2 linked regions of the Caenorhabditis elegans genome follow. The protein of the gene in region 2 interacts with the protein of the main gene of each other region in a pairwise test. Each region holds a gene or a part of one and is shown on either strand. Other genes may lie near its edges.

Region 1 (4,201 bases), on a different chromosome or scaffold from region 2:
TTTTTTTAAAACTTTGAAGCGAAATCCCGTAATTTCACGAGATTACCTTCACAAAGGCACACGGATTTATTCAAATGGGTCTCAGCGCGCAGCGTAAAAAAAGTAATTTTATAGAAAACTGCAAGGAAAATAAACAAATCGCAAAAATTTGCAAATAATTACCATAAACTTTTTTGCGCGCCGAGACCCATCTGAATTAATCTGTGCGCCTTTAAGTAGGCACGGTGAAAGATTGTAACATTATGATTTTTTTTTAATAAAAATTATTTTTTCAGGTCCCTCCCGGCCGAGCACGTAACTATCGTGACGACATCACTGTTATTGTGATCCATTTCAATGAAACCTTCCTCGACGGTCACGAAGACGATGAAGAATAACTCTTAAAATTAATGCCATGCACACATTTTTATAGTCTTTACTGGTATTATCCCTATTTTAATTTTTGTAATCTCCCCTCTGTAGAGACGACGACTTTATGCCAAAGAGTCTCCCCGGTCTTTGTCTAGGTATCTTTTCTTGTATATAATAGTTGCATTTATTGTTAATTGGTGCTCAAGATCAATGATTCTTTTCTTTTCTCACATCGAAAAAAAAACATACAATCACAATAATTTAATGATTCAGTTAGTACATATCAAAGTGAGACAAAGGAATGAGATGTTATGTTTGACAATTTGGTGAAATTTTGGAGTTGGAGATCTGTCGATTATCGCATGTATCCTGGCTGGGCTCCTGGTGGAGGATATCCTTCGTATCCGTGTGGTGGTGGTGGTGGACCTCCAGGATATCCAGGCATTCCTGAAAGAAAATAAATTTCAGTGAATTTATAGTTTGAGGTGCAGAATCTTTGAGATTGGATTGGGATATAAAAATTTCAGAATTATTTTTAGAATGTACAAAAAGGCCAAAATTCCCCTGAAGTTTTTTTTCACCAATTTTTATTTTTTCGGGAAATTCTGGGAATTTTTTAACTCAAATAAGGTATTTTTCCACAATAATTACCTTGCGGCGGGTAAGGATAAGGCATTCGCTGTCCACTCATCTGCGGTGCTGGCTGTCCAAACGGTGGATACACAGGTGGCGGAGCTTGTCCATTAGGCTGTTGTTGCTGCTGCCGCATTTGTGCTTGATAAGCTTGATGATTCATCATCTCGGGTGGTACACCACCACCCATTGGCGGAGGAGCAAATCCGTGAGGCGGCTGCATTGGACCACCTGGACTTGGTGCCGCCTGTGGTGGCATCATTTGTTGACGATGGTGAGCGGCAGGAAGTCCTTGTTGAGGATGTGGATGGCCTTGTTGTGGTGAATGTTGTGGTTGTTGTTGTTGGAGATGTGGTGCCGGAGGACCAGAAGCTCCGGGTTGAGGCTGTTGTTGGTTAGGATCTGGAAGAGCGGCAGCAGCGGTACCATCATCTTTCAGCTGGCTTAGAAGGAATGGGTCTGCGAGATTTGAAAGATGTAACAAGTTCCGATGTAAAAGTTGTTGGTGTTTGATGGCTTCGTCAGCACGGCTCTGAAATGATTTTTTTATGATTAGAGGAGGAGTAATCGGTGCTCGAATTTCGAAATAAATTTTTAAAAAACGAAAAAATTCCATTAAATCTGAAAAATCGTTTGAATTACCGCTCTATGGTCTCTAAACTCCGCCCATGGAGCCATTCCGCACTTCAATTTTGAGGCAGAATTTTTTGTGTTTTTTTCTAATTTTTAATGAATAAAAAGGTCATAAACGTTTTTTTTTTGTATTTAAAAATTATTCAATAGAAAAAAAACATTGTTATTGTAGAGCTCTATAGAGTTCCGCGAAATTTAACAAAATCGATACGATTTTTTAAAAACAATTTTGCACATTTATGACGTATTTCTTTATTAAAAATTAGAAAAACAACACAAAAAAGATAAATTTGTGCCAAAATTGAAAAGTGCGACACGGTTCTATGGACGGTATTTATAGACCATAGTGCGGTAATTCAAATGAGGAACAGTTGAAAAATCGCCAAAATCATCTTTTTTTTCATACTTAGCAATTTTTACGATTTTCTTTTGTGGTATTTCGGCATTTGGGAATAGTGAGTATTTTAAGGTACTCCTTTTTTGCAAAAAAAAACAAACAAACCTGATTTAAATATTCCTGTATAATATCGATCAGCCTTGAGTTTTCATCGAGTAACTTCTGCACAGTTGACTGTTGATCTGGAACATTTGTTCGCATCGCTGGAGGTAGATGTGCCGTTGACATCTGGTGATTTATAAGAAATATAGAAAATAAACAGGGAAATCAAATTTTAAAAAAATACAAGTTGGATATTTTTGAAACCAACAAGAAACCAATACAATAATAGTTTTCAGTACAATATCGAGATAAATCTTCATTTTCTACACAAAAAAAAACAAAATCTAAATAGAAGCGGTTCAGTTTACTTCGTCTTTTAATAGAAATTTACTTAGTTCCAATTCTGGTTCTTCTGTTCCATGAGAAGTTTTGTCCGTAATTCTTTGGCTTAATCTTGCGCTCATGTGGCTCCTCGACGTCAAACTCCCAGCGATTCTTTTCACAGAAAGCGATAGCGTCCTCTTTTGTGGCAAACTTGAGATCCATTCCAACATTGGAGAGTGGATCCGCACTAAATTTTTTTTTTAAACTTTAAACTTCATTAAGATGCTACTCACGTTCCAGACCATCCCATCAATGGATTTTCCCATCTTTGACGATTATCCAGCTCAATGGTCCAGGACTTGGTATTACCCCAAGCACTTTGTGTAGTCTCTCTTGCTGGACGGAAGATGCGAGCGGTACGGGCATCTTGGTGATCAAGTGGAACACCTCCGATATCCATTGTCTCATCGGATGATACTTTTACTGGAGTCTGAAATATTTATTTCAATAAAAATGTCAAGTATAAACAATTTAAGTGCAATTCGCTGAATTTCGTGTATTAAAACAGGAAAAATCAACATTTAAATCTTACTTTTTGAGACGGTTTGTCAAGAATATCGTTGAGCTCAACCTTTTTGGCATCATGCGATCTTGTGACCGGTAGGTTGTCCTTTCCAGTCGAGAGGCAACGGAAAGCCGTGTTTCCCGCCGAAAGGCAACGAGAGGCTCCAGCACGAAGCATCTGTAAATTACTCCATTAATAAATAATTTAAAATTACAATACTGTGACGGATTAGAAAAAATAGAAAAGAATATTTAATTAAAATCAATAAATTGAGAGGAAAAAATATGAAAATAAAAAAAATGTTCGCGTTTTCAACGACACTCCGGTATAACGGTACCGCGTGTTGTTTATCGTAAATCAGATGTTTTTTGAGCTGAATTCATTTTTTAATTCGTTCATAATTTTAGGTCTAAAACTATAATTCAATAAAACTATAATTCAATTTAAACCATACAGATTGTTCTTTTACATTTAATTAATCAATTTAAAAGTATTTCCTAATAGAATTTCTCATAATTCACGAGACCCCATTGTGTTTTGATTTTTTTGACAGCTAGTGCTTGTACGAGAACACATACCATTCCCTTCTTGTGACTCATGTCACTTTTAATATTTATCACAATGATTGCCTTACAGTCTAAGTACATTCTTCACCCTTTGTCTCCCGTTGTAATATCCTTTCTAATTCTCTTGTGAGCTGTTCTTCTGACCTCAACCACCTTTTAATGTTCTTGGATAATAAACTTCATGAAAATTGTCAGTTTTTACACTTGTAACCACTCTTAAATTACCGCTTTCACAACACTTGTTTTAGTTTTCAGAATGTCAAGCTCCAGCGAGACCCAAGTCAACGTAGACACTGAAGAGGAAAGCTCGGTTCAAACATTGGAAGAATCAGAAGAAGATGAACAAGGAGGTGAGGAAGACGAAGAAGATGAAGAAGAAGAAGAAATAGACGAGGATCACTGGGTGGTAATACTGCAATTTGACTGAAACAGAAATACATTCAACTTTTTTTCAGGTCGAAAAAGTACAAGAAATGCGGTACAATGGAAAATTGAAAAGAGTCGAGTTTCTCGTTTTATGGCAAGCTGATAAATCGACATCTTGGGAGCCTATAGAAAATTTTCATGGTGGATATGAAAATTTGGAGATACAAAGATTCCAAACAGAGCATCCTAAACGATTTGAAGATGTCACTAATAAGGCAACTGTAGCAAATAAGAAAGGGAGACCGAAGAAGCAGCAAACATGGA
Region 2 (6,926 bases):
AGATTGTTTAACTCACAATATCAATTTTTACAGTAAACTGCCTCACGACAGAAGGTGCCAAATTGTCAACAAAAGAAAATCAGAAGCACTGCAAATGTATTCAGCCATGCCAGCAAGATCAATACACAACAACGTATTCAGCAGCAAAGTGGCCGAGCGGAAGTATACAAACATCGTGTGACAATCATTCAAAAGATTGCAATTCTTATTTAAGGTTTGCACTGTTTTAAACTCTATGTAAAAACCTGATAATAATCATGTCTCGGCAAATATCAGAAAACATTTTTTTAAAGAATTTTTGGATATAACATGTAACTTGAAAAATGGTTTTGTTTCTAAAATACATTTATTCTCAAATAAATTAGTTGACAGTTAATGACAAAAAATCGATTTTCAGAGAACACGCCGCAATGATTGAAATTTATTATGAACAAATGAGCTATGAGATATTGAGAGAATCTGAGTCGTATTCTTGGTTCAACTTGATGGCCGATATGGGTGGCCAAGCTGGCTTGTTTTTAGGTGATTTTAAACAATTTGAGTAACTCGCAATTCAAAAAGTGAATTTTTCAGGCGCAAGCATTATGAGCGTGATTGAGTTTTTATTCTTCGCTGTCCGAACTCTTGGAATTGCATGTAAGCCAAGAAGATGGAGGCAGAAAACGGAATTATTACGAGCTGAAGAATTGAATGATGCGGAAAAAGGAGTATCCACAAATAATAATTGATTTTTGATCTCTGTGGAATTCAAATGTGAATAAACAGGTTTTTTTCAAACAGTCTACTCGGGCTCATAAAAAATCCACAAGAAGATACATTTTATTTTGATCAACTTTGACCGTAAAAAGTTGATATTCAAGAGAAAACATGGAAAGGTTGCTGTTGAATACACATAATGTTGAAGAGAAGATTTGTGTGGCCGGATTTCGAACTGGGATTCCAAATTTTGCTAAACGAAAATTATACAAACAAAGTAATTGAAGAATACAGGAAAATGAGAATGAGCTAAAAAACACAAAAACAGATAGAATGAAACGCACAGCTCCGTTGCTTAGTTTAGTTGAAAGTTTGTCAAGTGGAGAACTCTGTAAAATTTATTTTCAGTCCCGTTATCCACTTTCACGTCAAATCAGTAGTGCCATGAATCCTTCCGACCAACGTCATAAAGATTGATGATGTACCAACTATGCTAGTTAGTAGTTATTACACCAACATAGTTGATACATTCAATTTCTACGTTACAACATCTTGACAGGTTTTCCCTCGAGAATGGCCTGTGAGCCTGTAGAGAGAAGTGAACCTGTAGAGTACACAGACAACATAACTGCCCAGGAAAAAAAGGAAAAAACTATCAAGATGTTTTCGCCACATTTGAATGATTAATTATTAAAAAACCACGAATTCATGAGAATGCCTATTTTCTGAAAAAAAAAAGCGGCAACGAGATATCATTCAAAAATGTAAGATTTAGGTGCCTTCGCTACGAGATATTCGCGCGCCAGAACGGTATGCATTCTCATGATCAGGTGGTTTTTTAATAAGTGTTAATGATTCAGTAACAAATGAGTGAATAAGTAAAATATTTTTTTTAGTTCCTATTCAGTATCAGGGCCGGGGTTTACTCCGAAACAGCTATGCCTATGTTATTCTTGTAACATCGTTTTCAGGACTAAAAGTCTGGTTTGTATGCAAGTTTACCATTCTTCACATTAGTTCAACTCACTCTTTCTTGTCAACTTTCTTATTGTATTTTGATTTCTTGCCAATGCCCGAACAGCAGCCGTAACCGGGGTTTTTGAGAGTTCTAAAACATGATGTGCATTATAAAAAATACTTCCGTTGTCAACTTACGAAGCTTTGTGTGGGCTTTGTGAAGAATCTGCGCACGAGACTATAATGATTGAAGGTCTGAAATTTTAATGACAATGGCGGTTGAACTCAGAACTTAAATTGAATTTCATGAATGTCAAAAATAATAATTTGTTTTCAATTAATATTTATTGTAAACTCACGGAGTATATTGTTCCAATTTTTCCCATGGATTGTTTTTGTTGAATTGCATTTTTTGATCAATCTCAATGGGGACAGAAGGGTTGGAACTACTGGAGTATCATAATATTCGTAAGAAATTTCATTTTAAAAAAACTTACCCGCTTGAACTTTCAAAGGAACTTTCAGTTTCTGGATGTTCCTCATTTTCTATTGCAGCATGATCTAGAGACTGTCCAATATTTTCTTGCATGACATTCAAATGTATTTCTTGATGAAAGTCATTGATGTCACGGAGTAGATTTCTCTCGGCGAGGATTCGGATCGTTTCCTGCACAATTGTACTGATTGGTGCCTCCAATTGTGAAACTTTGCCGCTGACAACTCCAGTTTCTGTCGAAGGTGGCAATGGGTGATTCAGTGATACATCTATTGATTTGTTATTTGTTTCATCGTGAAGATTAGTAACGCTAAGAAGAATTGGTTCATCGTTGTTCGAAAAGTTTTCAGCAGTAGCGGTATCATGTTCAGCAAGTATTGTATTTTCAACTTCAGTAACTGATTTTGCAGCAGAAACTATAACGTCGGGCTCTGAGCGTTTAGAAGATTGTTCCGGTACAGTACAAAAAATATTGAATTCAGCAGGCCCTGTCTCATTCGGGCTCTCATTCTCGGCGACATCTGCGATCAAGCATTGCGATGATTTCATTTTCTCCGATTGGTTCCTTGTTTGACAATTTGTGAGCGTTGAATTATATTTTCCATAAGCGTCACCTTCATTCTTTTTAGTTTGTGGTTGAATTAAAGATTCTTCGGCATCTTCGTAAGCCGAGTTGAACGAGTCAGTAGATTGTATTGAGAGGGAGGGAGCAAGTACCATAGGAATTTCAACAACATTCGAAAGTTGTTGAGCGTTGCATCCATCAATATCTGAACGAGAGATGAATTTAAAAACAGAAAAAAATTGTATCGGACTCTTGTTACCTTTTGTTTTCAGAACACAAACTGTTTCATTTCCATGAGATATGACAATTTTAAGCTCAGTCTTGTTAGGAGACAGCGGTAATTCGGAAACGACACCTGATGAGGAGGATGAAGATGATGCATTATTGTTTGGCAAATGCTGTCTGGATACTTGATTTGAACGGTTTTGGTTATGGCCATGTTGGTTTTTCCTGTCGTTTCTCCGGAAATTGCTAGTCTAAATAACTCAATTCAAAAATGAAATAAATCAATATTGATACCTTGGAGTTACGGTTGTTTCCTCGGCAATTATGTTTTCTGTATTGAGAAGTAATGTCCGGTGGGAATAAAAACGGAGTCAAATGCTGTAAAGATGATTAAGATTTTCATGAAATTTTTTTTTTTGACACTAGTTAAAATTTAAATAAAATTATATTTCACTTAGGTAGTTTTGTTACGATCTCAAGGAGAGATGAACAATGAACGTATTGATTATTTTTTTACGGAAAGGGCAAAATTACATTTGAAACAGAGGTGGCGGCAATTGTCGTTTGGCAATCGAATTTTCGCCAATTTCGGCAGTTTTGGCAATTGCCGCAATTGCCGATTGCCGAAAATGTTGAAAACCGGCAATTGTCGGAATTACCGATTGCCGGAAGCCAGAATTGCCGGGAACATAAATTTAATACGTTTTGTAAATTTTTGAGTCTAAACATGCATTTAAAAGAAGATGTTTTCTTTTCAAGCTTAAAATGTTTAAATCCTGAAAGTTTTGGCCGTTATCTATTAGAAAATGACTAACCAAATACTAACAAGGTGATTTTTTTTTTCATTTTTTGAGTTATAATTATGTTTGAAAATTGCCGAAAATGTCCGGCAATCAGCAATTTCGGCAATTTTCGGAATCCCCGATTGCCGAAATATTTGAAAACCGACAATCGCCAAAATTGCCAAAATATTTGAAAACTGACAATTGCCAAAATTGCCGATTGCAGGAAAATTCCGATTTTTTTTAAGTGAGCATCAGCTTTCGAGTTTTCTGAGTCAACCTTTTATATTTTTCATTCCGACCTATTTTTTTTATTACAATAACTTCCAAAATCACTACTTTTTTACTGAACGTATTCAATTTAATTGTAAAACATTAAACTTCTTTCTTACATCCAAATAATTCAGGTCCTTCAGGTTCGGCGAGCTTTGAGCATTTGGAGTCCTTGGTTGGTACTGATAAGGAGGAGATACACAACACAACTTGTTCATTTGGTATTGATTACATGGCTGAATAAATTTTCCGTCCATGGTCTGATTATGGTAGGTTTAAAAAATGTGGAATGCCACGTAATTGTTCTCAATTGAAATTCTGATTTTTACCTGACTTTGTAAAGCATATTGCTCGGAATTGTAGTATTTTTGATGTGGCAGTTGTGCTGGGTGATTTTGGTTTGCATATTGGTAGCTTGTAAAATTCTGTAACATTTTAATTTCGAAATGTGTCAATAAAAGTCCGAACCTGAACATTCCAATTATTGGGTGGTTGAGATGGGTATGGGGCTGATGAAAATGTAGAATAATCCTGAATTCAAACATGAAACAACATTTAAATTTATAATTATCTGGTTTAAATTACCTGCACCACGGGAGCACCTTGAAAATACACTAAAGGATTTTGAGTTTCCGGAATCCACGAACTTTGGGGATACATCGGTTGCGAGAAAAACGCCGGGTTCGCTGGAGGGAATGTGTAGTATGTAGTCATCTGTGGAGCAAAACGTTCATACTTGGCAGGAAGCTGGAAATCCACTCAAAATATTATAAATTAAAAATTTTTAAATTTTTGGGTGAGGATGAACCAATGATATTCTGTATCTCCATGTGAGCACAGCAAAATACTCTTTCATTTTCATTGCACGCATTTTCATTAAGTCCCTTAATTTTTTTTTTTGCATAACTTGAAAATCGAGCATTAATCAACAAAAGCAACTGGTGTTATTCATGTTTTAGTGTGAGTGGAGATTTTGAAAAAAAAACACCGGCCAGTGCTCGTGCCGGTGCGGTACGAGGAAGAACATCTGTCACAAAATTAAGGACAGTGGTAAACATTCATCCCCACTAAACTGGCAAAAACAAAAAATGCTCGCAAGACCATGTCTCATATTTTTTCCATTTACTTTAAAACAAGCACAGTTTATATCTCTCAAAAGATTGAAAAAAAACATACCCGCGTTTCTGGACTTTTAATCGTTGACTGTGGATCTCCTTTGAATTCTTCATTTAAACCGTATTGTGGGGTCTGAGTTGGGTTCACAAAGCTTATTCTGTTAGAATTGGCTTCCATCGTTTGAGATTTAAATATGATCAATCTGAGATATATTTTTATGGCCCACCAGTGAATAAAAGGATATATGAAAAAAAAATAGAAGAATTGTAACATAGCACATACTTTAGTGACTAAATCTAGGTACACACTGTTAAAAATTTTCAAACATTATATTAGCATTCTATCAGTTTTGCACACTTCTGCATGTGTTCGAGGCTATCTAAATTATTCACAGCTTTTTTCAGACTTTTATAAAATTTCGTGTGATTAAAATTTTGCCAAGACTTGAGTCTCTACGTAAAATGTCAGTTTTGTAAATGAGAACAAGCTTTTGTATCGCATTGTTTCGTCGCTTTTTTTATACTAAAGTTCAAAATTTAGCTCACGCGTTGCCTATAATAAATTGACGCCTTTCCAAAGAATAGCAAAAAATAAAATCGAGAGAACGGAAAGGAGGAGACATCAAGATCCACAACTGAAAAAAAATGAGCATAAGACATTTGACTGTAGAAAAGAGAGCACAGAGAAGCTATGGCGCAGACAGAAAAGAGGCGGAGTTTTGAAAGATCATATGTAAGCGCATACATTTCCGAAAAGAGGGCTAACGAATATTCTTGTTCAACAACAAACCTTAAAAGCATTCATTTGCCATATGGTACAATTTTGAAATAGCTTTATGGCAACAAAGCAAAAGTCAAAAAAAAAGAGATTAAAGATGTATTTGATGAGATAGAACTGTTCAACTTTTTTTCAAGTATTAAGCTAAACGTGCAGCGGATTTATTTTTTTAAATTACTCATTTCAAGCTTCACGGGCTGCCCATAATATAAACTATTATAAAATCAATTTTTGAACAAGTTTACCTGTTATATATATTAGATGTAGATCAAAATCGTGAAACATTCTGAGATGTAATGAAATTTAATTTTTCACGAGAAACCAGATTCTAACATTTTGATACATTCAAAATGTTATCCAAAATCTCCAAGATGACAGGATAATTTATACATCACAAGGATTTGAACTAGAATTTTAGAATTCAGACTTTTGCAAATTTCTAAAATTGCTTCTTTGAAGTTACAAAACAGTTCCGTTTTCCTCAGGTTGCCAGTTTTTCAAAAACAAAAATATTGCAAAATTTACTGCAATTCAAAAAAAAATAGTACGTCGAGTGAAAAACTTTACATTGTTAAAATTACAGTGCATAAGAAAATATGACAGTTTGGTAATATAAACAGGCATGGCACACAATAAATTGTGCGGATAATTCAATTTAAAATTTTTGTAAGAATAGGGGCATTTTAAAACGGAAGTCGGTGATTTTTAACTCAATTAAAAATCTATATAAAGAATTGTAAAACAATTGACGCAAATTCAAAGTGTTGTAACCTTAAAACAATCAGAAGCATAATTAGTTTTGGTAATATGCAGCAAAACTGAACAAGCATACACTCAATTATGCATCATTTGAACTTTAGGATTTTGCAACTAGAAAAGAATAAAGTAAGATGATGTATTTTGAAACAAAAATACAAACTTCTAGCTCGAAGTTTAAAAATACCTTTGATTGAATGTTAGTGTGGAAATTTTTTGAAACAAAGTTAGGCACTTTGATACAAAACTACAAGAGAAAATTGAAGTTTCAATAAAATTTGTT

The links.
Region 1: the proteins of E02H4.2 (region 2) and ZK973.9 interact in a two-hybrid assay, tested with the Caenorhabditis elegans proteins (one large-scale study listed by BioGRID).

Annotation. Positions count from the first base shown.
Region 1 is NC_003279.8:4,369,897-4,374,097, forward strand, and holds ZK973.9 (SS18 N-terminal domain-containing protein), read right to left. Parts: upstream 2,243-4,201; 5' UTR 2,216-2,242; coding exon 2,120-2,215; intron 1,517-2,119; coding exon 1,003-1,516; intron 799-1,002; coding exon 707-798; 3' UTR 523-706; downstream 1-522. Other genes in the region: pdp-1 (PPM-type phosphatase domain-containing protein), read left to right, coding at 276-377; lpd-5 (NADH dehydrogenase [ubiquinone] iron-sulfur protein 4, mitochondrial), read right to left, coding at 2,444-2,627, 2,674-2,870, 2,973-3,122; cec-10 (Chromo domain-containing protein), read left to right, coding at 3,768-3,917, 3,967-4,201.
Region 2 is NC_003284.9:14,276,313-14,283,238, forward strand, and holds E02H4.2 (MIF4G domain-containing protein), read right to left. Parts: upstream 5,315-6,926; 5' UTR 5,288-5,314; coding exon 5,171-5,287; intron 4,742-5,170; coding exon 4,580-4,741; intron 4,526-4,579; coding exon 4,463-4,525; intron 4,420-4,462; coding exon 4,324-4,419; intron 4,231-4,323; coding exon 4,114-4,230; intron 3,318-4,113; coding exon 3,234-3,317; intron 3,191-3,233; coding exon 2,974-3,190; intron 2,920-2,973; coding exon 2,151-2,919; intron 2,103-2,150; coding exon 2,013-2,102; intron 1,909-2,012; coding exon 1,852-1,908; intron 1,805-1,851; coding exon 1,724-1,804; intron 1,086-1,723; coding exon 1,052-1,085; 3' UTR 810-1,051; downstream 1-809. Other genes in the region: Degenerin del-1, read left to right, coding at 34-214, 398-522, 574-728.